Linked DNA regions of Solanum lycopersicum. The protein of the gene in region 3 interacts with the protein of the main gene of each other region in a pairwise test. Links are inferred from orthologs where the notes say so. Each region holds a gene or a part of one and is shown on either strand. Other genes may lie near its edges.

What was found.
Region 1: the proteins of abscisic acid receptor PYL8 (region 3) and TCP21 interact in binary tests that used the Arabidopsis thaliana proteins (3 or more experiments, as listed by UniProt). The link is inferred for Solanum lycopersicum from reciprocal best matches to the Arabidopsis thaliana genes RCAR3 and AT5G51910.
Region 2: the proteins of abscisic acid receptor PYL8 (region 3) and probable 3-hydroxyisobutyrate dehydrogenase-like 1, mitochondrial interact in binary tests that used the Arabidopsis thaliana proteins (3 or more experiments, as listed by UniProt). The link is inferred for Solanum lycopersicum from reciprocal best matches to the Arabidopsis thaliana genes RCAR3 and AT4G29120.

The regions. Positions count from the first base shown.
Region 1 is NC_090802.1:2,187,362-2,197,527, forward strand, and holds TCP21 (TCP transcription factor 21), read left to right. Parts: upstream 1-3,796; 5' UTR 3,797-3,837; coding exon 3,838-4,818; 3' UTR 4,819-4,986; downstream 4,987-10,166. Other genes in the region: peroxidase 66, read left to right, coding at 8,165-8,365, 8,476-8,664, 8,843-9,406.
Region 2 is NC_090800.1:85,410,533-85,421,008, reverse strand, and holds probable 3-hydroxyisobutyrate dehydrogenase-like 1, mitochondrial, read right to left. Parts: upstream 4,788-10,476; 5' UTR 4,551-4,787; coding exon 3,483-4,550; 3' UTR 3,343-3,482; downstream 1-3,342. Other genes in the region: receptor-like protein EIX2, read left to right, coding at 1-449, 635-1,581, 1,634-2,250, 2,371-2,451, 2,500-2,597; uncharacterized protein, read right to left, coding at 5,310-6,492, 7,127-7,225, 7,696-8,048, 9,104-9,221, 9,944-10,476.
Region 3 is NC_090802.1:2,736,173-2,746,838, forward strand, and holds abscisic acid receptor PYL8, read left to right. Parts: upstream 1-4,842; 5' UTR 4,843-5,233; coding exon 5,234-5,356; intron 5,357-6,132; coding exon 6,133-6,348; intron 6,349-7,638; coding exon 7,639-7,857; 3' UTR 7,858-8,158; downstream 8,159-10,666. UniProt on the Arabidopsis thaliana protein: Receptor for abscisic acid (ABA) required for ABA-mediated responses such as stomatal closure and germination inhibition.

The DNA.
Region 1 (10,166 bases), about 550 kb from region 3:
TGATCTATTTTATTAATTTAGTTTAAGATTTTTTTACATTTATCAGTACTGTATTTTAACGTGTTATAACAGGTAGCGTATCTCTCTTTTTTTTTTGGTTAATTACTAGTCCTACTTTTTATGAATAATTAGTTATTAATAATGACTTAATAATATGTGTATTCGATCCTTCAAAAATAGTACATTATATTTTTTGTGGATATGTTATGGATGCATAAAACGTTTTTGAAAAGCACTGAGCCATATTGTCATTAAGTAATTTATACTTGATCTATCTATTGATTTAGTTTAAAAAATTTTATATTACAATTTACAGTGTATTTTAATATGCTATAACAGGTAACGTATTTCTTAGTCCTATTTTTTTTATGAATAATACTTATAATATTTTATATTAATTAGTTAAAACTATTTCTAGAGTTTTTGGCTATCAACATGTTTCCTTGAATAAAAGGGCATACTTGGGTGATGAAAACTTACTAGTTAGAGTTATTCAAGTATTTGTTATGTAGGATTTAGTTATACAGAGTTTCGTTATACAGGTATTAGTTATGCATTGTTTATTTATGCAGGTATTAATTGTATAGGGTTTAGTTATGTTAAGTTTAATTACGTAGAAATCACAATACGTGAATTATTAACTATTGAATATTAAATTTGTTGTAAAATATTTATATATACATGGGTAGTTTTATCCCTTTTAAACGGAGAGTTTAGCCCATGAAACAAGCAAAGGGTCCTAGGTTAAGCCCCATTTGGCCATAAATTTAGAATTTTTTTTTAAAAAAAATAAAAATATGAAATTTAAAGTTGTGTTTGAATATACATTTTAATTAAAAAGGGTATTATAACTGAAAGTCTCGAAATTGAAAAGTTATTTGAGCAAATTTTTGGAAAATTAAAATATTTGAAAATCAAATCAAATTTTAATGACTAAGCGTAAATATTTGAAAGTAAAATTTTAAAATTTGACGTAGAGATCACCAATTTATAAGGTCATTGGGTGTAATTCATCATATGGCTTAGGACACAAATATCCTGTTAAATTACCATCAATTTTATTTAAACACTTAAATATTGACTTATTCAAATTAAATATCTGAATATATAATAAAACATTTTATTCCTTACTTTCACTTCAATTTAAAAAATAAAACAATAATTGAGTGTGATCTTCAATATCAAGTACATATTAATTACTTACCTTATTCAATACATCAGCTAGTCTCAATAATTCATAAAATTTTAGGCATTTTAGTGATGTGCATAACTAAAAAGAACTTTATTCAAATAATTAAGTAATTTACCTAATAAATACTTCAAATTGCATTTAATTTTTTCTGAAATTTAATTTAAAAATTATTTTATCAAACATACAAATGTACTTGTGGGGCACTTCTAGGAGAATGGGCCCCAGCACACTTTTCCAGGCGGCCGCGTGGTGGTCCACTGGCTACAGCTACCCAAATTGAAAAATCAAATCAATTTGATGATTTAATCTCAATATAAATTTAAAAATTGATGATATTTATTTTAATTAAAAGAGAATTCAATAAAAAGTTGAATTAAATCAATTATATATATATATATATATATATATATATATATATATATATATAAATTTTAAGTATATATATAGCATGTGTACAAATAATGGTGATATTAGTATTGAAATTACTTTTTTGCACTATAAAGTTGGAGACATTAAAAATAATATACAATGCATAAGTTTCTTTTAGAAAATTAAAGAATATTAGTTTACAAAAATAATATTATCTACAATACGGTAGAAAAGATTTTTTCAAATATAGGGATAATTATTTCTTTAACCGTGGTAATAATTGCATTAAATTTCATAGATTAATATCATAAATTTTTATGTATTAATTACACAACAAATACAAAATAGAATGTATATCTAATGTTAATATATCAACTAAAGATAATTTTTTAAAAAATTTTCATTCGGTGTTCGACGCTCATATTGAAGTCTCGACTAAATTTAGATTGAGCACTACAGGGCTTATTTGGGGGGTGATCCTCCTGATAGAATTTTCTCTATATCTAAAGTTCGAACCCGAGACATCTGATTAAGGACAAAAACATTCTCATTAATGCACCACAATTTATGTTGCTCCAAATACATATACAATGATTTAACACAAAATATGAATAATATACAAAATTATACGCATTTTCTTTTCTAATGCACTTTTATCAAAAGTCCATAACAGTATACCAAACTTTATTAAACATGTCGAACTATTTGCATTATGTTAAGACCTCATCTAACCAACAATATAATTTGATAATATAAAGGTGGCAATGTCCAAAAAGGCCTTAACAATTTGATCGGTGGATATATAAACTTTAGTTCAAAAAAAAACTATCAAAATGGTCGGTGTTACTTTATTTTGATTCTTTTAACATTTATATCGTCATTAAAAAAAATAGTAAGAAATATAATTGCAAAAGAAGATGGTTTTGAAGTGTCTAATTGCGTTCTTTAAAGAGATATTCCTCATGTAAATAGTGGGTTAAGTATAAATAATTCCATACAACAAATCGTTTTGTTTATTACGGAGATCTTTTTTAGTTTACTTCCCGAAATGCTTTATATTAATAAAATTTCAGAGGTGACTCTTCCTAAAAGTTATATTCTTTAATGAACAAATAATTTTTTATAAATATCATGTAATAATTTTTTATAACACTCAATCATAATTTTTTATTTTTCATGTGTTTGTTTCTATTAATAATTATGTGGGAAAATCGGGCAGAATAAAAGGAAAGAAATCCAAAGAGCAAGAGAACCTAGCAAAGAAAATAACAATTGATAGATTTAGATTTTATTCGTCATGTGAAGCCCATTATTGAACTTCACACTATTTTTTTTCACAATTTAGGGTTAAATTATCAAAATAAATATCTTTAATTATTATATTATAAATTATTTCACCTAAAAAATATCAGGCATCAAAATAAAATAACATCAATATATTAAGCTCTAGTTTGATCTTTGTCTTGTCAAACTTTTTACCTAACATAATTTTCTTAGAGTTCTAATTAAATTTAGTTGGCGTTTTGGCCATGTGATATAGTATCGTGAGATGAAATCAGCATTTAGACATATGATTTTATGCTGATTACATCTCGTGATTTCATATAATGAGATTTGATATCATATTCTTCAAAAATCATGGTATAGAATCATATGAGAATACAATATCATGATTTGAGTTATTTAAATACAAAAATTAATTCACGAATTTATATTTTGTTCAAACAACCCCACATTTCTATATACTAACTATTATTTCACATTTAAATAAAATTTATAATCACGTCATAACGTTTTAAAATTTATTAATTTCACTGACATAAAAAAATTTAATTCTCATCAACATAAGTCACTTTAACTCACACTTCACCAATATAATTTCACGTCATGTTTCATTTTAACTCAAATATATTGATGAAACAATTAATTAAGTGAAGAACAAATAGTTTTGCAATAATTTATTATACAATTTTATGATTTTTATTTATTTAATAATATAAAATAAATAATTAAAGCTATTTTAACAATTTTAGAATTTATGAGATTCTTATATTTATATTAAAAAAAAATACACAACATTAAAATTCTATATCATATGTCCAAATAAAATTTTTAATTTCGTCGCGTAATTCTATATTAATTTCTCCTTGTGTCAATTTTCATTAAGTACACAGTGGGGTACTGTAGTTATTTCAATCCTCCTTTTTTATTTTTTTAAGCTCTAAATTTTTTTGGGTTTCAGCTATTTGCAGCTGTGTTTGGGATTTTTCTGAAAAATGGCGAGGGTTGAGAACAACCAAAACATTGAACAAGAAGATGACGAGGTGAACGACTGTAAGATTGATCCGTTACTTGGTGATTCTCATGAATACACCATTGCAGCGGTAGGGAATGTCACCGATGCGGAAGGGGTGGATCCGTCTCCGGCGGCGTCCACTGATAGGGTGCTGTTGTTAAAGGAAGAACCGGAGGAGAATGATTTGCGAGTTTCTACGTCGGTTGGGATGAATATGCAATTGCAGAAGGTAGAGAAACAACCGGTGAAAAGATCCTCAAAGGACCGGCACACGAAAGTGGAAGGCCGTGGTCGGAGAATCCGTATGCCGGCGGCTTGTGCTGCTAGAATCTTCCAATTAACGCGGGAACTAGGTCATAAATCGGAAGGTGAAACTATAAGATGGCTTCTAGAACGCGCCGAGCCAGCCATCATTGCCGCTACTGGAACGGGTACGGTTCCGGCCATCGCGGTATCAGTAAACGGAACGCTGAAAATACCGACGTCAAACAACGAGGGAGAAAGCTCGAGGAAGAGAAGGAAAAGGGCTGCAAATAGCGAGTTTTATGAGGCGTCAAATTTTGCACCGGTGGCTCCCATTGCCCCACAAGGTCTTGTTCCTGTTTGGCCAGTGGGCTCTGGGAATGGACTTATTCCCACCACAGCATTTACCGGTGGGGCAACTTTCTATATGCTACCGCCAGGCACTAATACAACAGTTGCTGCTACTGGGGCTCAGTTGTGGGCCACTCCAATACTTAATGTACCTTATGCAGCAACAGGGGTCTCTGCTGCTTGTGTGTCAAAAAGTGATAACAATGGAGGCAAGTTAAGCACAGTTGCTTCAGCTATGCCTCCAAGTTCTAGTTCTACACAGATGCTTAGAGATTTCTCACTGGAGATTTATGACAAGAGAGAGCTTCAGTTTATGGTTGGTTCTGGTTCCAGTGAAATTGATCAAACTTCCTCATCTAAATCCTGATTAGGGTTCTAAGACCCATTAATTTATCTTTTTTTGTTAATCTCTTCTGGATAAGCATCTAGTTTTTTCAAAAGATTATTTTAACATTTTGCTTGTAAGCATCTAGGAAAGGAAGTTGCTCTGCTGTGACATGGGTTCGTCAATGTTAAATGTCAACTTGCTGTTTTCTTAGTTTTGGGGCACTCAACTTTTTCTTTGCATTATAGTGCTTGTTAATGTGCTCTATCCATTAGTAGTTTTTTCTTAAAAAAAAAGTAAATTTTGTACTAACATAAACTCGATCCTTTAGAAAATGTTTGTCATGTTCAATTTGACTAATTTTTTGATCATATTAATTCGATATTTTAAATAAAAAAATTAGATATTCTAAAACTATATGAAAAGTACTATAAATTATAATTTTTTACATATTAATATGATGAAAAAATGTGTTAGTCAAAGTTTTTATAGTTTGACTCTAAAAATAGAAATCATGACAAACAATATCGGAAGAGAAAGTAATATATAATATATATTTTCAATAAATAAAGAATACATATAAGCTATTTTTGTAACTGTGTATGTACTGTGGTTCTTATCTTTGGGTCCATTTGGCCCGTGCACTTGGATTACTTCATAAATTACATGTGACTTTAGAGTAGGGCCCACTAAAGATGGATAGAGGGGTGTGGGTCAATGAATACTAGTCAATACAAAAATTTAATTTTTTTTTTAAAATATGGTTTTTTAATTCAAAGGCTATGATTATTAATTAAATTCTCTTGATAAATAAGAATGGTAAATAGAGGGTATAAGTGTTAGGCACATACCAACGATTATGATAGAGTGATTTTTACTTCTTTATTCTGTATTAACAATTCAAAATTTTTCGTATAAAACTTGTTAACGACCATCAAACAAAAATAAAAATAAAAATTATGGGCAGATTTTATGTCATTTGAAGAGTGGGACCCAGTTCTAGGAGAGTGGGCCCCACGCTCAGTAATCGAGGAGGTCTACTGGCTACTAATAAGACTACCTTTCAGGTTTGTCGTTAGGTTTGCTGCTTTTTTGGGGGGTGGGGTCGAGAGAACAGGCTGGCAATATTCTGACACGTGGCGTACTCTTAGTGGTCATATGGGGATTACCTCTCTAAAGCTGACACGTGTCATATGATGTACTCTACTGTTATAATGGATATCATCTTAACTCCCCTAATATTTACTTAGGGCCTTTTTTCTTTGCACATTTATAAGTGTATTAGCATAAACAAATTTAATTAAAGAATAAATATGTACAAAATCTAAAAAGAATTGAGTTGCGCACAGAGGCGAACCTACTTATAGAAATGGATTGTAAGTACAAAAAATTATTTGACGGTACCTGAAATTTTTGAAGTAGTTTTAAAATTGACGAGGACATGCTAGAGGATTTTGAAATTTGTAACTTGAATATATGGATAAGATTAAGGAGGAATCGAAGGAATGAGAAGAAAGAAATTGTATAAAGTAAAATAGTAAAGAGAAAACATTATCACAGTACTTATCTTTTTTTATATTATTAGTGCAATTTTAACCTTACGTTTTATTACACTATTTTAGAAGTCATCATATATATCAGACTTCTTGTGAAACTAATTACCTACTGAATATTATTATATACTAGCTTAACTTGATATATAGTGTAAAACGTGCACAATATACTCTTAATTAATTCAACAAACCCTGGAATAATTAAAGCTTCTGTTGTTATAAAGTACGCCAACTATAAGGAAAGTTAGTAGTTTAATTTAGTGGTGGAACAGTTCCATTCATAATTATTAGAGGTTTCGAATTTGAATTGTGAATTATGGAGAAAATTGTCATTTCCAAATAGATCATGCACGGTCTGAATTTTATCGAAACTTCAATACAGCCACCAGACATCGAGTAGGAAAATGAAAAAAAATTCATTCTTACCCTTGAATCCAGGACAGACAAGTTTCTTTTTTTCTTTTTTTTATGTATGTATATACGTGTATACCTCTTAGTCCTTACCAACTGTTTGCCTTGAAGATTTAGACCAACCTGAAAGAAACAGATTAACTAAAAATTTACGAGAATTGATCTTTTTCAGTAATATTTATTCTTCATTTAATGAGATTCTTATTTACATGACAATTTAAGTAACATAATTTAAAAATAATTATAAGGATAATAATAAAAAATAGTCTTAAATTCATGCCGTTAAATATTTTTTCTTAAGAAGTATACCAAATCCCAATAATAATTCACTTAAAATGGCATAAAAAAGTAGAAGCAACTTAATAAGACTGTATACGTTATCCTCCTCAGACTTAATTAGTGAAACTATATTCTCATGTTATATATATATATATATATATTGATGTGCTTCTTACTCTTTCCATCTTTGACTAAAACAGAGAAAACTTCTATCTTCTTTGTGTTTTACGTTAAAGAAAAACTCCACACATAATAACATGAATTTACCTGTTTGTTTGATTAATTATTTGAATTTTAACTGTATTACATACACGCTGTTTGCATGATTGGTTACGTATTATTTCAAAATATATTGCATTGTATTTTTTAAAGAAAAGTAGGGTACAAGATAGAGTTAATATAAAAAGGTACGGTAAAAGATAAAATGTAATTATTAAATAGTAGATAAAGACAAAATGGGAAGCATATATTAAGCTAACGACGCAATCACATTAAATCACATCAGATGAGTCTTTTCGTCATATTACGTAACGATATTTGAAAAATATAATTCAATATAATTTAGTAACAATCAAAATAAACATGGTATTTAAACTAACAATATAATATAAAATAATATAATACAACGTGTAACAACCATCCAAACAAGGCGTTAGTGAGGACCAGACATTTGGTGCGGGAACAATTATATTTGATATATGAGAGTCCAATATCATAAATGTAAAGTGGAGAACAAGTAGCCATGTTCTGATATCATGTTAAAGAAATGAATTTTGAGACAAACGGTAAGGAATAACCACTCATCTCTTAATCATCACAGGTGAAACAAAATCATATATATTTGAAAGAAGAGAAATTTGTACTATTCTTGGAGTTGTTGTTAGTAATGTTGTTGAAAGCATTGCTGGAAATGCTTAGTCTCAAAGCACAAAATAAGCTTCATAAGACTTCCCACTTTTTACTAATTGAGTGACTTGAAAGTACATATTAGTAATATCTCCATGCACCAAACACCAAAAATACTATTTGTTTATTTGCTCATTCTATGCTATATATACCCAAAATCCTGTTGCACAATCATCTCATCTTCCTTTCAAGTTGCAATTAATTAATTAAATCCTTAGTTACCAATTTAACCTTAACTAATGGCTCCTTTTTCTACTATCTTATTTCTTGTTTTGTTAATAGCCCCTCTATGCAATGCAACTCTTGGAGTTCAATACTATGATCAAACATGTCCTCATGCTGAAGACATTATTTATCAAACAATTCGCAACGCTTCATTTTTTGATTCTAAAGTCCCTGCACGTCTTCTCAGGATGTTCTTTCATGATTGTTTCATTAGAGTAATCTCTCTTTCTCTATGTACAAAATTTTGGGCATCAGGCAAGTCATTATATTATAGATGCATGTAAGAGATGGAAGTTGAAACTGTTTTGTTAATGACTATTTACAGGGATGTGATGCATCAGTTCTATTGGATTCAACACCAGAAAACAAAGCAGAGAAAGATGGTCAGCCTAACCTCTCTCTTGGAGCTTTCTATGTGATTGATGCTGTCAAAACTAACCTCGAAAAGGCTTGCCCAACAACTGTTTCTTGTGCTGACATAGTTGCCATCGCAGCTAGAGACGTCGTCGCCATGGTACTACTCCATCATCCTCCCTACTAAATAGTCAATCAATGTGCAGTAAATAATACAATATGACCCGTTAAAATATACTACTAGCTACCAAGGCGTTGTCAGTGTATATAAGTTAAATTCCACTGCTTAAACTGCAATCATAAGCTCATAAATACTTCATGTTTGATCAATTTTGTAGTCTGGAGGTCCATACTGGAATGTACTAAAGGGAAGAAAAGACGGGAGAGTGTCAAGGGCTAATGAGACAGTAAACTTACCTGCTCCATCTTTCAACACAAGCCAACTCATTCAGAGCTTTGCCAACAGGGGACTGGCAGTGAAAGATTTGGTTGCCCTTTCTGGTGGACACACACTTGGATTCTCACACTGCTCTTCATTTGAAGGCAGACTTCATAACTTCAGCTCAGTGCACGACACTGACCCGAGTTTGAATGCAGTATTTGCACAGAGCTTAAAGCAGAAATGCCCGAAACCCAACAGTGATCGCAATGCAGGACAATTGTTGGACCCAACTTCATCAGTATTTGACAACAACTATTACAAGCAAATTATTTCAGGCAAAGGTGTTTTTGCATCAGACCAGAGTTTGTTGAATGACTACAGGACTGGATTGATTGTTAAGGCATTTGCCAATGATCAAGCTACGTTCTTCAGGGAATTTGCTGCTTCAATGATCAAGCTTGGAAATGTTGGTGTCCTTGAACATGGAGAAGTTAGACTCAACTGCAGAGCTGTGAACTAAAAAATGAGTGTGTTTGTACCTATGTTTGTTCTTTTTGCTGTCTAATAATCTGAGGCTTAATGAAATACTAGTATGAAATATCTATGCACCTTGTATAATTCCCTTGTAAGGTGAAGAGGTAGCAGAGGAAGAAATAATATCATCTATGTTGCTTATTGTTCATAATCCATCCTCTAAATTGTATTCACCGTACACATATAGTTTCTTTCAAAATTGAGATATAATACAAGCTCGTAAATTCTAAGATGGGGTAGGGTGGAAGTCTCCACATATGAATGTATTCCACCTACAACTATTAGCTTCTTCTTAAGTATCTCGATAGATTGCAATGGAGACATTAGTTGTACTCTATGACTACTACAACTACATACCTAGCGTACTCCCACAAATGGAGTCTAGGAAGGATAGAATGTTCCCAGATTTTACCCCTACCTTGGGAAGTAGAGAAGTTGTTTCCGACTAAGTTGCACAAACTCTTCACTTGCGATGTCGCACTCCTGTTGGATTCACCAGAAACACACTAATTTTGGAGAATCTGAAACAAAGAGTCTGAGCAACATAGGTTCTCGATAGACTTTCGGCTCAAGTACAAGCATTTCACGGCAGTTCAATCAAGAAAAGTAATAATTGTGCTCTATGATTAACAGTGCCAATTACGTAAGAAGCAACCAACTCAACTCCCTCCAAACAACAAAATTATAAAGGATTAGAATGTCAGACAACTTTTACCTGTGAATATTAATGAAAGTAATCCTATCAC
Region 2 (10,476 bases), on a different chromosome or scaffold from region 3:
TGGCATGTCGGAAAGTTTTAGTTATTGTACTTATTTTCTTTCTTCAATCCCTTCCTCTACTTGTTTCAGTTGAAGCAATTAGCACTGCTTCTCTACCTCTCACAAACACTACTGAAGCCAAAGTAAGATGTATTGAGAGTGAGAGGAATGGCCTATTAAGAGTTGAGCAAAGTCTCACAGATCCCTCTGACCACTTGGCTTCTTGGATTGGCAAAGAATGCTGCATCTGGAAAGGTGTTTCTTGTGACGTACAAACTGGTAATTTCATCAGGCTTGACCTCAAAGATACATCAGGCAATTGCTATCAGAAGAAAATGGGATATCTGATTTCTGACATTTCGACGTGCTTGGGTGGCAAGATAAGTCCTGCTTTACTTGACTTGAAACATTTAGAGTATTTAGACCTTGGTGAAATGACTTCCAAGGACTTGCCACTCCCACTTTCTTGGGTTCTCTTGAAAAATTACAATATCTTAACCTCACCCATTCATCTCTCATTGGTATTCCTCCTTCATTTGGGAACCTGTCGAATTTACAATATTTAAGCCTACGTGCATACTCCTATCCTTACGCTTCTGTTGAAAGTAGTTGGATCAAAGATTTGCATTGGGTTTCTGGTTTGTCCTCTTTGAAGTATCTTGATCTTTCTTATGTGAACCTTTCTTCGGCAACACATTGGCTTCAGTCTTTTAATAAGCTGCCATCTTTAGTGACTCTCAGTTTGCAAAACTGTGATCTTCGCTATATCCCTTACTCCTTTCCCAACTGGAATATGACTTCCCTTTCTTATCTCTACCTTTCACGCAATAACTTTGTTAACTCTGTGTTGCCTAAATGGTTGTCTAATGCCACCACCCTTGAGACACTTGATATAGCAATCAACAACATAGAAGGCCCAATATCAAATGTTGAGTGGGGTAAACTCTGTGATCTGCAGGATTTGTATCTAACACAGAATAAACTTAACGGAGACATAAGCAGATTAGTGGAAGGGTTGTCTAGCTGCAGCAACACGACCCTAGAGTTCTTAGGCCTTGCTGGAAACCGGTTGACAGGGCAGTTTCCAAATTCACTAGGACATTTGAAGAACTTAAGGATGATTAGTATATCTTTTAACCAGATATCTGGCACGATTCCCACATCTATTGAGCAGCTGTCAAGGTTGGAAATTTTGGACTTTGGACAAAACCAACTGAAGGGAGCCTTACCTGAAACCATATTTAATCTCACTGAATTAACTCAGTTATTCCTTGCAACAAATAATTGGGAAGGCAATCTTTCACAAAATGACTTCGCAAGACTCCATCAACTGAAGTTTTTAGCCATATCATGTGGAGAAAGGTTTTCTGTCAACTTGAGCAGTGAATGGATTCTTCCATTTAGCCTCACATATTTCGAGATAAGGAAATGTGCTTTGGGCTCCAAGTTACCGACATGGCTGAAAACTCAAAAGCAGCTTCGTATTATTATTCTCTCCAACGGCTCCATTTCAGATCCTATACCTCCTTGGCTTTGGACAATGTGCTCACAGTTGCAGTTTCTAGATCTATCAGATAACGAGATCGGTGGCAATCTTCCAAGGTTGGTAAATTTTCTGTCATCCCAAAGCCGGAGAGTGGACTTCTATTTCTAGTTACAGTGAAGGTGTTGTGGTGGACTTAAGTTCCAATAGCTTCCATGGTTTGTTACCTCTTTGGCCAAATGTTACACATTTGAATCTTGCAAACAACCTGTTTGCAGGATCAATCCCCATAAACATTGGTCATGTGATGACAAAACTCCAAGTTATAGATCTTTCTGGAAATACATTTACAGGATCTATACCATTTTCAATAACAAGAGTGAAGCAGCTAATGAGATTGGACCTCTCAGACAATCATTTGTCTGGAAAGATACCTGACTGGTGGGCTGATTTGCAACAACTTCATGTCATAGATTTGTCTGAGAATAATCTTTCAGGTGGTATTCCTCCTTCATTATGTTCACCACCTTCACTTTTTTGGTTGAGATTGAGTCGTAATAACGTCTTTGGAGAACTTCCAAAATCATTAAGCAACTGCAAAAGCTTGCTTACACTTGATATTGGAGAGAACAAAATCAGTGGCATCATACCCGAGTGGTTCGGAGAAAGTCTATTATCTTTGCAAAAGCTTAGCATGACAGACAACATGATTGGTGGACACATTCCACCACAACTTTGCCAAATTTTTGGCCTTCAAATTCTTGATCTTTCCCATAACAATTTGACAGGTTCTATCCCTTCCTGCTAAGGAAATTTGAGAGGTCTTAAGTCCGTCAAATTTTACAAGTTGCATCCAAAATTACTACTATTTCAACTATGTTTTTACGCCCAAGATGGTGTTGATTAAGAAGGGAACAAGGATGACATAGTGAATCTTATTGATCTTTCTTTCAACAATCTTCACGATGAAATCCCAAATGAAATTACAGGTCTGTCAGCCTTGATGACTCTGAATTTATCTTGGAATCAATTATCAGGAAGAATTCCAGAGGACATAGGGAGCATGAAGCAATTGGAGACACTAGACCTTTCATCTAACCATCTCTTTGGTTCAATCCCATTGAGCATGACTTAAATCACTACATTTAGCTATCTTAACTTGTCATATAACAACCTTGGTGGCCCTATCCCATCGAAAAACCAATTTGGAACCTTCACTAATCCTTAAGTTTTGAAGGAAATCCAGAACCCTGTGGGAAACCATTGATTACAGATTGCTCTCCACCAAGAAAAAGAGATCTCAAGAAATTTGAAGAAGAAGAAGATGATGATGATGAAAGGTTGTGGTTTTTAATGAGCGCAGGAATAGGTTTTGTCATAACATTTTTGGTGACGTTTAGCAGCTTGACAATAAAAGAAGTCATGGGGATACAGTTACTTCCATTTCTCAGAGGATTTGGAGAAAGAATTATCAGGTGCTGTATTTTTTTCAAGGCTTCCTTGTTTAGTATTTTCAGAGTCGCAAGGAAGTATGTGTTAAAACCAGGAACTGTTTCTGCTTAACTATGCTTTTAGTAGTTCTTTAGCTGTATTGTTTTTCTCCATAGTACTTGATTTTATTGCAGTAAATAAAAAAGGATGACTCTGTTTCTCCCTGGAATTTCTTAATGTTTTTTACTTTTACAAACACTATAGCTTAGATCATGCACTATGGACGTCAACGCGCTCTTCAGCTGTCTTGCGGATAGACCTTCTCTGGACAACCTAAATCCAGGGCCTTTAATACTCCTGCCTGATTCACAATGAACACTAAAGAAACTGTAGCCAACAACTTCAATTCGAGATCTTTTGCCCTGGAAGTCTCATCAAGTACTACAGAATATTCAAACTCTCACCTTCTTATATATGTGTGAGAAAATCAACATTCATAGAAGGATAAACGATACAAAATACAAATGTCAGGACATTTTAACATTAAGAAATGGATACATAGTGGTCAAGGATCAAACAGATAATCAGTCTAAGGTTTGCCAATAGCAGAAGCCTCAGATTGAAGGGACAAATTGTTAATCCTCTCAAGGGCTAGAATGAGAGCTTGGGTTCCTAAATCACCCTCACCATGAGCTTTAAGCGACAGATAGAGCTGTTGAGCCAATGCCAGCCCAGGCAATGCGAGACCCATGTTCTGGCATTCCCTCAAACATATCCCCAAATCTTTGACAAAATGATTCACATAAAATCCAGGTTCCAAATCCCTGTTAAGTATTCTGCTTCCATACAAGTCTAATGATTTTGAGCCAGCTGCGCCTGTTGAAATGGCATCCACAAAATGATTCAAATCCAAACCAGCTTTATGCGCGTAAATTAAGCCCTCGCATAGTCCCACCATAGAGGAAGCAATCACTACTTGGTTCCCCAATTTTGTGAACTGCCCTTTTCCGGGGGCACCCATGTAATAAACTTTGCCAAGAAGGTTAAATAATGGATTAAGCCTTTGGACAATGGATTCCTCTCCACCGGCGAAGATGGATAAAGCAGCATTCCGAGCTCCGCGATCTCCTCCAGAAACAGGGGCGTCAATGGCGGAGCAGCCAGCGGCAGAGGCTGCAGAGTGAATTTCAACAGCCAGGGAAGGTTCGGAAGTAGTCATATCTATGATGACGCCGCCTTGACGCAGACCGGAAAGAGCGCCGGAGTTTGGGTCGAGGATTACCTGGCGAACGTCAGAAGGGTAGCCAACGATAGAGAAAACGACGTCGGATTGAGAAGCGACGGCCTTTGGAGTGTCAACCCAGTGGGCTCCCATGGAGATAAGTTCCTGAGCCTTGGATGGAGTCCGAGTGAAGACAGTGAGGGTGTATCCGGCGTTAATCAGGTGGGCGCACATAGAGCGGCCCATTACTCCGGTACCGATCCATCCCAGACGAGTATTGGATGGGTCAACGGCTGTTGCCATAGTACGGCAGAGATGGGTGATAGTGGCGGCGGTGACGGTGAGGATTGTTTGGGGCGAGTAGTGACAATGGTGGGGATGTAAACGTAGTAGCCGCACAAATTTATGAAAGGAAGAAGATATATTATGAATCATAGAGAATGGAAGATTTTTATTTTCTTTATATTTGAGAGATGTATTATTTTCTTGGCTTATATACTTCAAAATAACCAAATTCTTACAGCAACTTTTTAATATTTTAATCTGTTTGGGATGAATTACTAATATTTGCTCTTCCAGTTCAACCTGAAAATATACAGAATAATTCCCCACTCAGTAGAAGTAGCTGAATGATGTGGGGTTATTTACATTTTAGTATACAAATTAACTGAGAACCTCAACATTTCCATGTCCTTTTGATTACAGTATTGACTTAGGCAACCAGATAAGCTAAGAAATGCATTAATGAAGTGTAATTCTGTAGGATACTACAACGGGACCAATATCAATAATTAGCAAATTATTGTTTACAGAAAAACGTCTATAGTTACAACATGTAGATCTTATCATCAGCTGAAGTAAATGAAAAACTTGGAAGAAGATTGAAGATATTGCATCTTTGCAGGTCAAGCTTAGGGTTGCTACAAGGAAGTCATCGCCTGGGAATAATCACTACTTCCCAGTTGGCTTATTTGTATGAAGCTTTCGCCAATCAACTTTGTACCCAGTCACTGAAACACTTCTCCTTGTAGTGCATCTCTCTTAGGTGGAAGAAGCTGATGTGATGATGGCTATTCAGAAGTTGAAATGCTGTTTCTGACTTCTGATAACCCTTCCATTTCCTCATTCAGGAGACCCATAGTGCTATTCCGGCAAGTAAACCAACTCTTGAAATGATAAACTGAATGTTGAGACTCATCGGACATTTATTCTTGGCCTCCTATGTCTTTCATCGTCTAAGTAACTATCTGATTGATCACCATAATTACTATTTCTTCCTCGTTGCTGTTTATAAGATTCTTCACGTCCACGGCTTCTATAATCATTATATCCATTATCTTGGCTTCTCCTGCTGCTTCCACGTAAGTCTCTGGGACTTCTTTTCATGTTATCTCGAAAAGAGGATCGTTTGTCTCTTATCCCATCACCACCAACTTCGGATGAGTCCCATCTGCCATTTTGACCAGCCTTACCGCCTCTTTGCTTATTTTTGTGAAATGACCTACCTTTGTTGCTCTCTGAGTCAGAGAAGGGCTCATCTTCACTATAGGAGCTGCTTCTCCGTCCAAATTCCTTTCTTGATCCCCATTTATTCCCTTTATTCTGCTGACTTCTGAAATCCCTATCATCGGAGTCGGAGCTGAGGCCATAATCGTCATCAGAGTCAAAACTCTTGGCACCTTTGTTCCTAGATCTTGGTTTAGAATAAGAAACCTGACTAGATCTCATATTAGTTTTAATTGGAAGCTCATCATCTGTGTCAAAATCCACTTCAGCATCCTCAGAACCACGAAACGCCCCTTTCTGATGTCTCTGTCTAAAATGTGCATCGCTTGCGGGGGAACTGTTCCTTCTACCAACAAGCAAAGTGTCATCAACACTATCAATATCTTCAGATTCGGAGTTGACCTCAATATCCGAGAAATCTATTTTAGAACTTCTGTTTGCTCCATTACTGTCTATCTCATAGCTGTCGACATCATCTTCTTCATCATCAAAGTCATTAAAGCCTACCCCTGGTTTCCCAGGTGCGGGGTATTCAGTTTCGTAACCTTTTGGAGGCCTGCTGCTCTTGTGGAAACCATCTTCATTGCTCCTGGAAGTATCTCTTCGTTCTTGCCTATCCAGGGGAAAATCTTCACCCAGTTTCCGAGAATCTGCAGTCTCGAAGGCAGCAATGTCTGCACCATCTGACTCATCATCATCAAAATCAAAATTCCATGCATTAGAAACATCTTGCCGGCGAGATATTTTATTCATCTGTGTCCTGGATCCTTGTAGCCTCTCCTGCTGTTGAGCAACCATATAGTCATCAACTGGGCGCTTGCATTCACAATGAAAACATACCACATTTCTCCTATAATTCAAGAAATTACACCTGCCAATTCATAAAAGGAAACAATTGTTTTTGTCAGTGTCACAGAAAGGGTAAATCAATATGTAATAAACATATCAGAAAGTGAAAGCCTCAAGAGAAAAGCCTTTCAACAAATGTTTTTCTGAACATTTTGCAACAAATGGAAATTGCCAACTTAGACGAGCATGTAAATGAGTGTACAAGTTTAATAGGGCATATATGCAATCATTAATAGAATTTGCAGCTTGTTCCAGGCACAACAGAGAATAGTGATTGGATAATGAAGAAAAGAAATGTCCTCATCAAGATGAACTTGTTAAACTTGCCACTCCTATTAGATTCAAGCCCAAGCCTAGGCATCTATTGTTGTGGTGCTTGAATAAATATAGCAAAAATAAACTCCATTTCCCGACTATGAAGAGAAGACCGAAAAGTTGCTTCTTAATAGTCCTCCTCATCAAGATGAACTTGTTAAACTGCAACTCCTACTAGATTCAAGCCTAAGCCTAGGCATCTATCATTGTGGTGCTTGAATAAATTTAGCAAAAATAAACACCATTTCCTGATTAATTCAACATATTGCTCTGAAATCAACAATATACTCATGTCAGCAGAAGAGAGAAGATTGATAAGAAAAGGCAAGTAAAGCACATACTGGGAACATTCCCACTCTCCTGGAAGCAGCTGTCTCTTCGGCCGGTTGGCATCACATTGTAAGCATATGGTATTCTTCGCAAAATTCATGAAGTCACACCTGGCAATGTAACTTGTTAATGATGTTTCAACTCTAAATTTGACAAATTTTGTTCAATTTATTTCGCTAACACTCTTAAGTTCATATCATAAAAACCAAATACAAGATCAACAGATATAAGAGTCAAGGGTGAACTAATAATGAAGATAAGACAATTCATCACCACGCAATCTGCCCTATTTGAGGTGAAGCCCTGCTTTGCTTGTGCTGGACATACTAAACGGTCACAGCAGACCTTTCAGGACCATCCAACGGAAAAAAGTTGATGTCGAAGCACATCATGCCATACAGTGCCTTACAGATATCAATTGGGACTGTCTTCTGAACAATAGCACTTGAACAGCATAGAAAAGGTCCAAATAAAGTTTTAAGATGGATCAGGAAATATAACTTCATTATATTGAAAACCCTATTGATTCCCAAAGAAGGATGACGGAAGCTTAGGGCAGAAGAAAAGATATGAAACCTACTTTGGACACAGCCAATCTCCTTTTTTCATCTCAATGTCATCACGTCCGACTCGTTTCCTCGGAGGGGGAGGTGGCTGCTTCACCTTTGGAGGTGGTTTTTTAAAAACTGGAGGTGGAAGATTTGGATCTATTGGAACAGCACTCAACTTCACTATTTCGTGAAGCAATTTGCGAACAACAGTCTTTACAGATTTCTTCTTCATAAGACTCTCATTATCAACTGATCCATTGATTGCATTAAAACCAAAAGTCAATAGGACACGCATGACATCCATTGTCCTTGCTTCATCCTCCTTATTGGTAAGTAAATATGCCCTTTCACAAGAACTCCTCAAATTGCAAGAACTGCAAACCTGATACAATCATGTATTTATTTCTTATCAAGTAATGTTTTCATTGATAATAACAAGGTCATCTTGGCCATATACAAGAGATATACCAAAATATAATCATGCAATAACTTGGATTGGTCATTGAATAATACAGATAGTGAAAGCCCAGATCATAGTATACTCAACAAATCATGAAGTCATCATAGTGAATATTCACCGTACAAAAGAACAATGTGCACCTCACTTTAGACTTTTAAAAGCTTCTTACACTGGTTCATGATGTTACAGTATGTCCAATACGACAGCTATCTTCGGATGCTTTAAAGATACAATCTCAAGCACTCCAAGTCCAAGATAAACATTACCAGCAATTCAGCTAATCTGAAACCATCTCTATATGTGAATCAGGTGAAGAGCTTGATTTTTCTTTAGATCTTAAGCTAATACATTGTTGAATGGAGTAATTGCCTCATATAAAAGCATAGTCTGCTACAAAATGAACAATTTTATTTAGTTAATAAAGAGCATGTGGTGGAGCAGAAAGTAACTTTTCACATTGGAGAATAATATAACCTCTTGTTTTTAGTTTCATTTTGGTGCACTACCATGAGGTTCCTATTCTCCATATTGAGTACTATTTCTCAAGGAACCATTTTTCATGTAGGCTCTCTACTTTTTGGTATATTGCTTGTACACAGAATATTCCTATATTATAAAGTTAACACGAAAACTAAAGAATTTTAACATTCTATATCAAAATCTTGTGCTGCTAAGTTTAGAGTTTATCCCTTTCTGAAAGCAAAGTCACTAACAGGAGATCTTGATGCATTTTGAGAACAAGAAGATTAAAATAGACAATGCTTTTCAGAAAATGCACGAAATGACAAGAACTGTGAACTTCCTCCATTACATGGCAAATCTCGTCAAGACTTCACATTCATCAAGATAATAAATTGAGCCAAAACAAGAAGTAAATACAAGAAATGGGAATGAGAAACCACATTTCGTAAAGAATCAATAATGGGACTTCTAATAAGACAAGAAATACATATTTACAACAAAGAATCAAAACTTACATCCCCTTCGTCCAGATGAACGTGTTTCCTCAATAACTTGGAAGAAAAAACCACCTTCTTGTCTGTACTAGGGCATCCATAACCAACCAAAATTTGGAGATCCTGTCTCGACAATGACCTGAAATGAATTGATCACCCTATGCATTAAGAGTTATTGTCTGTCACTAGAATGTCATGGCACACTCTAAGTGTCCTTTAACAAACAGCTCAATTCCTTCCAAGTTAAACCGTAGGACGGGGATACAAAAGGTGAGGTTAATCAACTAAAAATTGATGGCTTCCGACTCAATAATCAAAACAATCTAATTATCAGCAATGATTTTGAGAGAACAGTAAAAACTCACTGTGGGGTTACTTGGTGGCTGCCTCAACCTCCAGTATGTAAAGAATCTGTTCCCCATCTAGTAATCCCCTCAACCATTTCCCCCTCCCGCTATATATCATAAAAAATTAGAAAGAAAAGGAACAGTGGAAACTGCACAAGTTAATTAACTAGGCTCTCAGGTTGTTACCTAATTTCATTTTTTGCACTATGGATCTCATTCATCTATCAAAACTTAGGAGTACTTCTTACAGTAGAGTCATATAAGAAGAAAGCAAGAACTCCTCAATAGTGAGTCAATTAAGTTACAAAAGTAGCTACCTAAAGTAAACGTGAATTAAGGGGGACAAAATGAACACCATCATTTCTAAGCTTGACAAGTATTGCCCAGCTAAATACTTGAGCAATGAGTACAATGCGGCTCAATTAAATTCATCTGATGGTTAAAAGTTCAATCCTATAAAGAAAAATGAAACCAATAAACGGTTAAAATGGTGTTCTTCGTTAAAAAAACAGACCTTAACATATCGAAACGATCTTTGCCAAAATTGAGAACAGCAGTCTGAGCAGTCTTCCAATCCCTGGTAAAATCAAAACCCTCATCTTCAGCGACACCAGTTAAACTGAACCCCAAATTCTCAATCATTTTATCCTCATCTTTTCTCTTATGATCAAAGTAATTCTGCTGAACCAAACGCTCCATTAACTCGATCCACTCAGGCCACGGATGCATCAATTCCACCTTCTTACTCATCAATCCACCACTACCTTCAAACCCATCATTCTTTCTTGATTCCAACTCCATTTCCGATGACCCCACATCAGAAAAACCCGAACTTGACCCAACCGGGTCTTGGTTCTGGGCTTGGTTTTGGGTTTGATTCCCCTTTTTGGATTCACGCCAGGCCCGAATTCGTTGAAGGGTTTGGTCCTTCTCTGACCGCTCTTTCTCAATAGCATCGATTTGGTCGAATACGAAGCTCATGCGAGCTGATAAAGAAGAAGGCTTATCTGAAGGTGAAAAAGAAGAGAAGGTTTTCGTTTGCGAAAG
Region 3 (10,666 bases):
TAATTTAATATGAAAATAACAACAAATGTACATAAAGTTATAACATCTAATGATTAATTGTTTTTATTCAAGATTTAATTAAACTATGTGTGGTCTTGGTATGAAAATAACAATACATGTGTATAAGTTATATCATCTATTCATTAAATATTTTTATTTAAGATTTAAACTAAGTGTAGTCTAGGTTTTATTTAAAATATCAACACATTACAATTAATCCTCCCCTTGTCTAACCTAGACAAATATTTATTTGTAATTTAAGCTTCAAACGATGAACGAATCATAAATTTGAATTTTCCACCTATAGTCTATAATAAAGAAGAGGAGAGAGATATAAGTATTACGGTGGAATGATAAGTATTTTTTTATTTTTAGTTTGAATTTTTGAAATTGAATCATGGATATAAAATTATCTTTGATGAGTGATCTCTCTGTACAAATTAAATTTATTGGCTCCCAATGAAAATATGGAATATCATGCGGAAAATTAAAAAGAAAATCACTAATAATGATATTATGTCTTATATTTTGATTTTGCAGACGACACAATATTGATCGACAAGATACTAATGAACAGAAAATTGGAGACATGTCTTAGATTCTGAAAGTTTCAAATGCATGACATAACACATGAGGTGGAGGTGAAAATGATAATCGAACAAGTAATACATATGAAATGAAGTTTTAAGTATCTTGATCCAATAATCTAAGGAGATGTGGAAAGATTGATAATGATGATGTTGTATATCATATTGGAGCGTAGTGGGTGATCTAAATGCTCGTGTCGGGGGGATTATATGATAAGAATGTGTCACCTACATCAATGTTCAGAAGATAAATGTAACAAAGATGAGGAAACTAAAAAGGATGTGTGAGGATGGTTATACATGACAAGATATGAGTGGTTTTCGACGCAGAACAAAAACAGAGAAACAAGATTATGGTTCGAGTATATGAAAAGGAGGTGCGAGAGGTTAACTGTACTAGAGTTAGGAGAGGTAGAGATAGACTGAAAAATAACTAAGAGAGTTAATAAGACAAAACTAAGACAAGTCCAGCTTAATAAAGACATGATCCTAGATGAAAAGGAATAGAGAATAAGAATAAAAGTATAAGATTGAAAAATATAAGTGATTTCTTGCTTCCTTTTTTTTTTTTTTGAAATATTATTTGGTTGATAAGTAGAAACTATTATTTTTAAAATATTTATATATAATTAAAATAAATATTAGTATAAATGATGAAGATGAAAATTAGGGGTGTAGGGTGGTGGGGTATGGGAATGGGACTAAAGGGCTAGAGGTTAGGATGGAGTGTGTTGTAATGAAGTGAGAAAGAAAATAATGATGTGAAATGATAGTGAAACTTTTTTTTTGTTATAAAATTTAAAATTAAAAGAATCTCAAAAAAATATTTTTTTTTTAACTTTTACTAGAATTTTTTTTCTTATTTTTTCAAAACAAAATATTAATTTTTTAAAAAATACTTTCTAAATCAACCAAAAACAAAAAAAAAAAGCAAAACATTTTACTTCAAAATAATGTCAAAAGAAGAAAGAAAACACTTCACCTTTCTCACTCTACTTACTAATTATACTTATTTTAGTAGCCAATGATAAAGTAGACTTGACCAAAAAAAACTTAAATTGGCCTCACTTGCAACTTAATTATGTCCCCACTTTTTAAATAATAGCCAATTATATGCCTAGAAATTAGCATGCCATAAATTGTGGCTATCTTATTGGTTATTTTGATTCGAATTGATAAAGACAAACTTCATATTTCTCAACTACTTCTAATAAATTCAAAATTAAAGTTAGTTCAATTCCTTACAAAAGTGTAATATCTTAAAATCAATAGATAAGTAAAAAGTATTCAAAAGAAAACATTTTTTTTATTATCTAAAATCACAAGGTACGTCAAAACTCCGAAGCTTAATATCTAAAAAAAAAATTTAGGAATTTTTAGCTAAAATCATTCTTCAATTATGACTCAGATCTAATGTACATTCTTATATTATTTCAGTGAATAAAAAAAATTCTTATACTATTTAAAAAATAACAAAAAAACATCCTTCATGCGTCTATTTTTGTTAAGAAACTAATTTAACAAATAATATATATATATATATATATATATATATATATATATATATATATATATATATTTATATTTGATCATGTCTTAGCTAAATCGAGAATATCAATGTTATCTAAAAGAATAAGAATATGAATAAAAAATAAATATTTTATCCTCATAATTTAAATTTTGTTTGTTGTTAGTTTATATGTTTTTTTTTTGCATGATAAAGTAAATTGACTTGCAACAAATAATACATGAATTTTGAAATATTTATACAATAGGATCTAATAGTTTGAAAGATTATGCAAAAGAAAAAACTATTTTAAAAATATTATGTGCAACTATTTAGAGATTCTCTTTAATTAAAAAAAAACATATAGTACTTATAATATATATAGACAATGCAATTCACATTTATACTATATATAAAAATACTGGCAATTTAGTGAAAATTATGTACGTGTTTTGTCGTGAGAATTCAATAATAATTACTTTATTTGAAATTTTTGAAAATGAAATTGTATTTGGCAATTTTTTAACAAAAGGATATTTAGAATTTAAATATATCTTGTCTGAATATTTTAATCCTTAAATTCTAGAAAAAAATAAAATTATCCAACTTGACTAGCTTAATCGTGTGTACATATATTCATTTAACTTAACACATTTTTTATTGGTGATTTGATTCTTTTTTTTAAAATAGACAAAAAAAAAATGAATCTTGTAATTTTTTAAATAGTGTAAAAGTGATTTTTGTTCACTTTTATAATACGAAAATATTCATTAAAATTAAGTCATAGTTATTAAATAATTTTAGCCAAATACTTCAAAATAAAAAGACAAAATCAAAAGCCGCAATCTTGAAGTCAAAGGAAGGAAAAGTAAAGGTTAAGAAGAAGGAAAAACGTGAGTGCCGCCACCGTAACTTTTGGCGGCGGCTTTTTTAAAAAGTAAAAACAATGTTCTGGACGTTGTTTTTATGCTCTATTTTATAGTTGAGTAGGTTTCCATTTCATATTTTCTATCAAATTTATTTTATCGTAGCGAGACGTTGCGTAATGTATTGAAATAAATATGTCCTATATTAACAAGAATATTATGAAATTAGATCTTTGGTTTAACTCAGATCTCAAAAATTAGCTCAAAGGGAGGAGGATTGTCCAAATCTTATAAGAAGTCCGCCCATTTCATTAACCAACAATGTGAAATTTTTGTCATTCTTTAACAAATATTGTATCAAGATATGACATATAACGTTGAGTTATGTATTCAAAATCAGAATACGACATTAGAATATTGAATTGATGTATTTGAAATTCTTAAATTTAAAAGATATTTTTATAGTTTAAAAAAACGAACAATGATAAATATAATTAATTTTTAAATACTAGGTAAAATATATTTGTATTTAAGGTTTGACGGGTCCAAAATTATATTATAAAGTAATCGGAGTATAAATGCTTTGTTTTAATTTTTGGTGTTTGCAAACATTAAAGTTGTGGTGGACATGGGGCTTTAAATCTCATTTAATAGGCTCAAAGTTAAGATAGAGAGTTTACTCGAAATAACTTAATTATTTTTTCATAAATACTTTTAAAACTCCAAAAAGCTTAATAGTAAAAAAAAAAAATACTAGCAAGATGAAAAAAGACCCTTGTGAGATTTATGAAATTAATTTTCATTTCATAGTGATATTAAAAAAATGAACCCAATATCATACCTATTTGATTAAGAAAACCAAACCAAATTCCCTTTATGCAGCTAGTGATATTGTCTCATTTCATATCAATTGTATTTTCGCTTAAGATTTTTTTTTTCAAACGAGAAGATTTGGTTGACCGTTCACTCATCTTTTGATGATCTTCCATTTAGCTTGTTTACTGTAACAGAGCGAGTAATATGTCGATGAAAGGTAGTATGCAACATTAAAGAAAAGAAATTGACAACGAATCTTAACTATAATTTCAAATATAACAATTTAATTAATAATTATTACTACATCTTCTTATAAATTAAGATTTTAAATTCAAATTTACATTGAATAATTAATGTTTCTTCATGTATTCTTAAAAGGATTTGATCACAATCTTGTTGTTTCTATATTTGATAACCATCATTTTATACCGCTTGAAAAAGAACACAATTTTGGACTTATCATATTTTTAGGTTATTGCTAAAAATAGGGTGTATAAAGATATTTAGATGAAATGTTCTAATTAGTAGAGGTGTTTTAATAATTTTTCATAGAATAGGGAGCTAAAAAAAAATCAATATTATTATATGTATTTGTTTGACTATTTTGTACGTCTACTGATAAATATTATTCACACATTATTTCTATTTCGGATCAAAAGTTTGTTTAAATAATTAATCTAACGAAATCAAAAAAAAATATTAAATGATTCTTTGCGCCTGTTCTAACTCAGTGAATAGAGTTATATTTGTTACTTATTATTGATGGGAGATGACATGTATTCTGTAAAATTAATTAAAATATATGAAATGTTAATCCCAAACATTACAATTTTTAGAAAGAAACATAATTAACTACTTAAAATATATAAATAATATGAAATTACAAACTGAATAATTTTAATTATTTAGGTAATTATTTCGATTTATTGATCGTAATTCTGAGTTCAAAATATAAAATTAGCATTTATTTATGCCTCAAAGGATAAAGACAAAAACAGTTATTTTGCTGTTAGAGATTTTTTATTGGTTCCAATAAGAGGGAGCTGAAACTGAGAAATCCTATCCCGTAAATAAAAGACTTATAAAGGGGTAATTTGGGAACTGCATAAGTTTCAACTCCCGAAATGGACAAAAGGAGTGGTTCATCGGGTAGATAGGGAGAATATGAAGGGTAAAAATGGAAAAAGACAAAGAGCAAGAAGACGCCGAAAATGTTTTAATATTCCAGGTGAGATAATTAAATAACTGTACTAAATCGATAATGGAGATCTATTTGTAATGGCGGTGGCGACTTCCCAAGCAAACCGAGTCCGACTCGTCCACTTGCGAGTTCAATACGCGTTAGCCTGCCTCTGAGAGATCTTTGCTACGTCATCGGAGTGATTCTCCGGTCACCGGCGAGAGAAATACACGCCGTTCATTGATTATTACAGGTTTTGCAGGAAAGTAAAGCGACGATGAACGCTAATGGATTCTGCGGTGTTGAGAAAGAGTATATAAGGAAGCATCATATTCATGAACCTAAGGAGAATCAATGCAGTTCATTTCTAGTCAAGCACATTCGAGCACCTGTTCATCTTGTTCGTTCTCCTCTCTCTCTCTCTCTGAATGCGTTTACTGCATTTTTCTTTTCCGTAGATCGATTGATTTATTTTCAGCTGTGTTGTGATTGATGATTATACTTTTAAATATCTTGAAGGTAAACATTAGATTTGTTATATTTGCGATGATTGTATGGTTTCTGATTTTGTATTGATCGTGTTCTCAGCTCTGTTTTCCTGAAAAAATACGACGTCACTAGGCTTTGATTTTGGTAGTCAGATCATCGAGTTCCTTTGTAGTTTTTTGTCTTGGTCAAATTTGTATAAAGGATGAAACGGATAAGATTTGAATTGTTTCCTATTTTAGGTCAAGCAAAGATTGTATCATCTTTTAGCTGTTTGGTTTATCCGTTCATGAAAGTTGAAAGTGACTCTAACTAATCTTTTGGTTAGTTGTATAAGAAAAGATCCCTGCTATAAAACTCTTGCATAACTAGGGGTGAACTAAAATATTCCTTGAAGAACTACCTATTACCTAATACAAGTGCTTATAGTGAACAAAGACGAAAGGCTAAATGTATTAGCAATTGATATGTTCATTGATTATGCAAAAGGGACAAATGAATCATCTGCAGTTATTCTCCACGTCGATTGCCTGTTTGCCTTATGCTTTTTATTTTGACTGAAGTGCTGGATAACTGATATTACTGCAAGCAGGACAAAATTAATATCTCTGATAACGTGAACGGAACTTGCATTTTGTATTTTGTGTTTAACCAGTCGTAATGGTTGTTGTTTCTCCCTCTTTTTATCAGGTTTGGTCATTGGTTAGGCGGTTTGATCAGCCACAGAAGTACAAGCCCTTTATCAGCAGGTGCATTGTGCAAGGAGATCTTGGGATTGGTAGTCTTAGGGAAGTTGATGTCAAGTCGGGCCTCCCTGCAACAACGAGTACTGAGAGATTGGAGCTTCTTGATGATGAAGAGCACATCTTAAGTGTCAGGATTGTTGGCGGGGATCACAGACTTAGGGTACTAAACAATTCTCTCTTGTTTGGCTGTTCCTTTCTTTTTTCAATTATTTTTTCTTATTTTTAAATTTTATTGTTATTAAGTACCCTTGAATTTGGTTTTTTCTCAGATCATGATCATTTCTATGGTAGAAGATTACCTCCAAACTAATTAGACTACCAAAATAAATTTCTAACTTGAATAACTTAATATACTTCTAATAAATAACTTAATATACTTCTAATTTCTACTTTACAGTTCTATTTTTAAGTGCTTAGTCATATATGTTTTTAGAGAAGCTCGAATCATCTGATATTGGTACTTCTTGTGATAGTGATATTGCAGAATACTAATCCTCTTCCCTTAAAGACCGTACAACCTGTCAGCAAAATAATGGATATTCTACTGTTACCTTCTCAAAAAAAATAAATAATGGATATTGCAGTCTGGTATTCTAGGCAAGCTAAAAAATTAGCATGTTTCTCATCTAAAGATTAATTTGTTCTCTTATAGATTGATGATTTTCGGGATTAAGCTTTAGAGCATTGAATTTATTTTCAGGGGGCTTTTTGTGATTGTACCATGGCAGGTTATATACCTTTTAATGCCCCCTTTGACTTGTGTGTTGAGAACTGAAGACAATAGCTCAATTGCTAGGCATTTGAGGGTTAGATAAGTGAGCATCTTCCTGATGCAGAGAACCAACTCCATTGATTCTTTGATTTGGCAAAAACGATTGGGTTCTTCTGTAATAGAACAACACTTTTAATTGATGATAGCACATTATGAAACTGAATGATCAGTACAGCACAAAGTGATATTTATTTTGCTTTTGAGATTATTCTTAGTAGAGAGCCGAGCATGTGCTTTTAGAATTATGATAACCTTTTCTGAAAGGTCGACTAGAATGCCAAGAAAAAATCAATTTAAATTGCAATCTTATTGGTAATAATTAATAAAGGGAGGATGGTATGTTATGTAGCACAATGCAGGTGTCTGAACTTGTGAGTTCGTTTGGGTTAATGACTTTCATGCACTATCTTTAATTGGGGAATATTGCAAATTGATTGCTCTTTGATGTCATGTCCTGTGAAGGCAAGTTTTTATGTATTTGGATTCGTTTAAGGAATCACTAGATGAATGATCTGGTTTTATTTTAGCAGGTTAAACATGACAGGTTAGTTTGATCTTGCAAAGATAGAGAGATACTTTGTGCTTGCTTCTTCCGACCTTTAGTATTGTTTTGACTACATTCAATTAAATATTCAGCCCTGTATGTTGCCCTTATCTTTTCTATTTGATCTTTTCCAGAACTACTCCTCTGTCATATCTGTGCACCCAGAGGTGATTGATGGAAGACCTGGGACACTAGTGCTTGAATCATTTGTAGTGGATGTGCCCGAAGGGAACACCAAAGACGAGACATGTTATTTTGTTGAAGCTTTGATCAATTGCAACCTAAAATCACTTGCTGATGTTTCAGAGAGGCTTGCTGTGCAAGACAGGACAGAACCCATTGATCAGGTCTAAATCAGGAAGACGTTCTGAAGGTTATTTCTACTTAGGATGAAGCTTCCTTAAGGCTGTTAGTTCTCCTGAGGCTTTGGAGGCCGACTGTATGTGGCTTGCTCTCTTCAATATTCCCTGGTGCTTTTAGTGCTCCGCCTTTTTTCTTCTTCTTCTGCAGTGTATGTTTAGGGTTCAGTCATATTACTTGTTTGTAGCGTCTCAGAACCACACGTTTTACAAGGATTTGAAGACACCCTGTAAATGGATGAAAAGACTAGCCTGTTTCCATTCTTCGAATTTTGATAGGGGGTGTGGTATGTCACTTGTCTCTGTTTTGTGTTGTTCCAGGGTATATTGAGTGTGTAGCCGTGTCTTTTAAGTTGCATTTGTGGTCTCTAATTGCAGTACGCAATGGCTGGGTACAGGAGGTGGGGTTGGGTGTGTGGATTGGGGGGGGGGGGACTCTATTTACTGAATAGAAGCACATTTAAGGCTCCAACAGTCCAAGAGCTAATGCTGTACAGACTAGTTATAGAGAAATGCTCTAGATCTGCAAACATTTCTTATTTATATCGTTGTTATTAATCATTGATCACGCAAAGACTTTTTAACTGTTGTGTAGTGGCTGGAGTTATGAGAGGAAAGTTGAAGATGACTTCTAGACTGCTTTAATAAACTGAGGATGGTAGCTTGTCATGTCACTCCGCTAGAGGTTCTTTCAACGAGCATGTAATTCACAAGACAAAATACTGCACACACAGATCTACTGTTAGGAATGTTAAGTGAAAACCAAAGCTTCCCTAATGGAAAAAGTAAACATGTCCAAAAGCAGTTCTAAATGTTAAGTTAGGATAATTTAACATGGCTCACTAATTTGATAAGTCTATATAACGATATCGAGATAGCATTGCGTTGAATTTGATAAGCTAATTTCGAAATTGTTTTATATTGTTTCAATATAATGATGCCTTGTTGTAATGACACAAATTTTAAAAAGACTCTAAAAAAACAGATTTGATCTTTTTGTAAAATAAACCACAATAAATTTTGTATAATGCGAAAGATTTAATGGTTTTGAGAGAAATTTAAATATTCAATTGTAAGAAACCTGTAACTTTCAAATCAAAGATTATAATTTGTAAATTTGAATCAGCCGAAGATAAAAAATGATGGGAACTTTATGGAGGGGGTAAAAGGAAAAATTGAAGAATAAGTAAGTAAGGAAAATATAGGAATAATAATATTGGTTGGTCTTAATTGTTAGAAAATAAATGAAGAAATAAAATAGATAATCATATAAAATATATAATATAATTACTTAAAGTTATTTCATTTCTAAATTATTATAATGACCTTACGTTGAGATAGATTAAAAATATCATAAGATCTATCCAAAAGGTTATTTTAAATTTAACAAGTACACAAAATAAAAAATTAGTTTTTTTAAAGAGGATTAACCTAATAATGATTAGTCTAGTTTCATTGTAGATTTCTTATAAATCACTCAAAACTAGAGATTATTATTATTTTGCTTTTGGTCCATACAATTTGAAAGTTCTTTTTTATGTATAATTACATATTATTTATAAATTTTATTTAAGTTATTATAAGATTATTTAAATTGAGATATTTTTAATATTAACTAAAAATATTTAAATTTAATTTTTTTTATTATATAGAAATATATATAGTTTGTCCAAGCCTATTGCAAGACATGATAATATATGTATAGAACATCACGTAATAATTAGCAGGTAGCATTATTAAAAAGATACGTAGCTTGCTCAAACCTATTGCAAGTAACACGATAATATTCGTATCGAAAACATCATATGACCATTTAGCAGCTAGTGTTGTTAAAAAGATATATAACTTGCCTATTCCTATTGCAAACAACATTATAATATATGTACGGAATGAAAAATAAAATAACAAAAACTTCAAAAGCTTTGCATTTACTCTCCTTTTATTGAGCAGTCTCTTATTATAGCAAAAATATTCAATGCAATTGCTGAATGAAGTAAATATTTAATAAAAAATGAAGTACTCATTTTTTTAAAATTCTTTTTAAAATTCTTCTAGGACCATTTTTCAATTTGTCATATCATTCTTGCGTAGGGACCATATTAATTTTCTGTGTATCGTTACGAGTTTATTGAATGTCTCCAAAGAGACCAAAAGCCAGTACTCAAATTTCATATTACAATATCTAATTCGACTTTAATATAAACACTTATTATTATTATCGTTTTATAATGGTAATGTAAGAGCTTAAAAATTACTTCCCCAGTTTGAAAATATTTGTCATGTTGCGTTTATTGAAAGTTGATTCGATTAATTTTCAAAGATAAATTAGATCACATTAATTTGATATTTTAAATAAAAAAAATTAGATATTCTAAAACAATATGAAAAATACTATCAATTACAATTTTTTGCGTATTAATTTGACTCTAAAAATAGAAATTATGATATGATAAATTTGAATTATAACGATATTGTCCTACTAATATATATTGTGTCAAATTAATTAATGTTTAATGTGAATTGATTGGTAAAATTATTATTCTTTTTTAAAAATAAAATTTACTTTATATGTTATTCAGTCTTTGAACATCATTAATGGAGTTAATCGTTAACCTTATATAAAGAGAAACCATCAATCAGTTCATCTAACTCGTCGGCTTTTCATCTCATCTACTCGGCGTTGTTGTGCGGTGGTTCCGTCGGTGAAACCCTAATTTCTGATAACATCCGCTTAACCTAGGTACGATCTGCTTTATGATTTTTTTATTCTAATTCAATTTTGCCCTAATCCCTATTGTTCGTT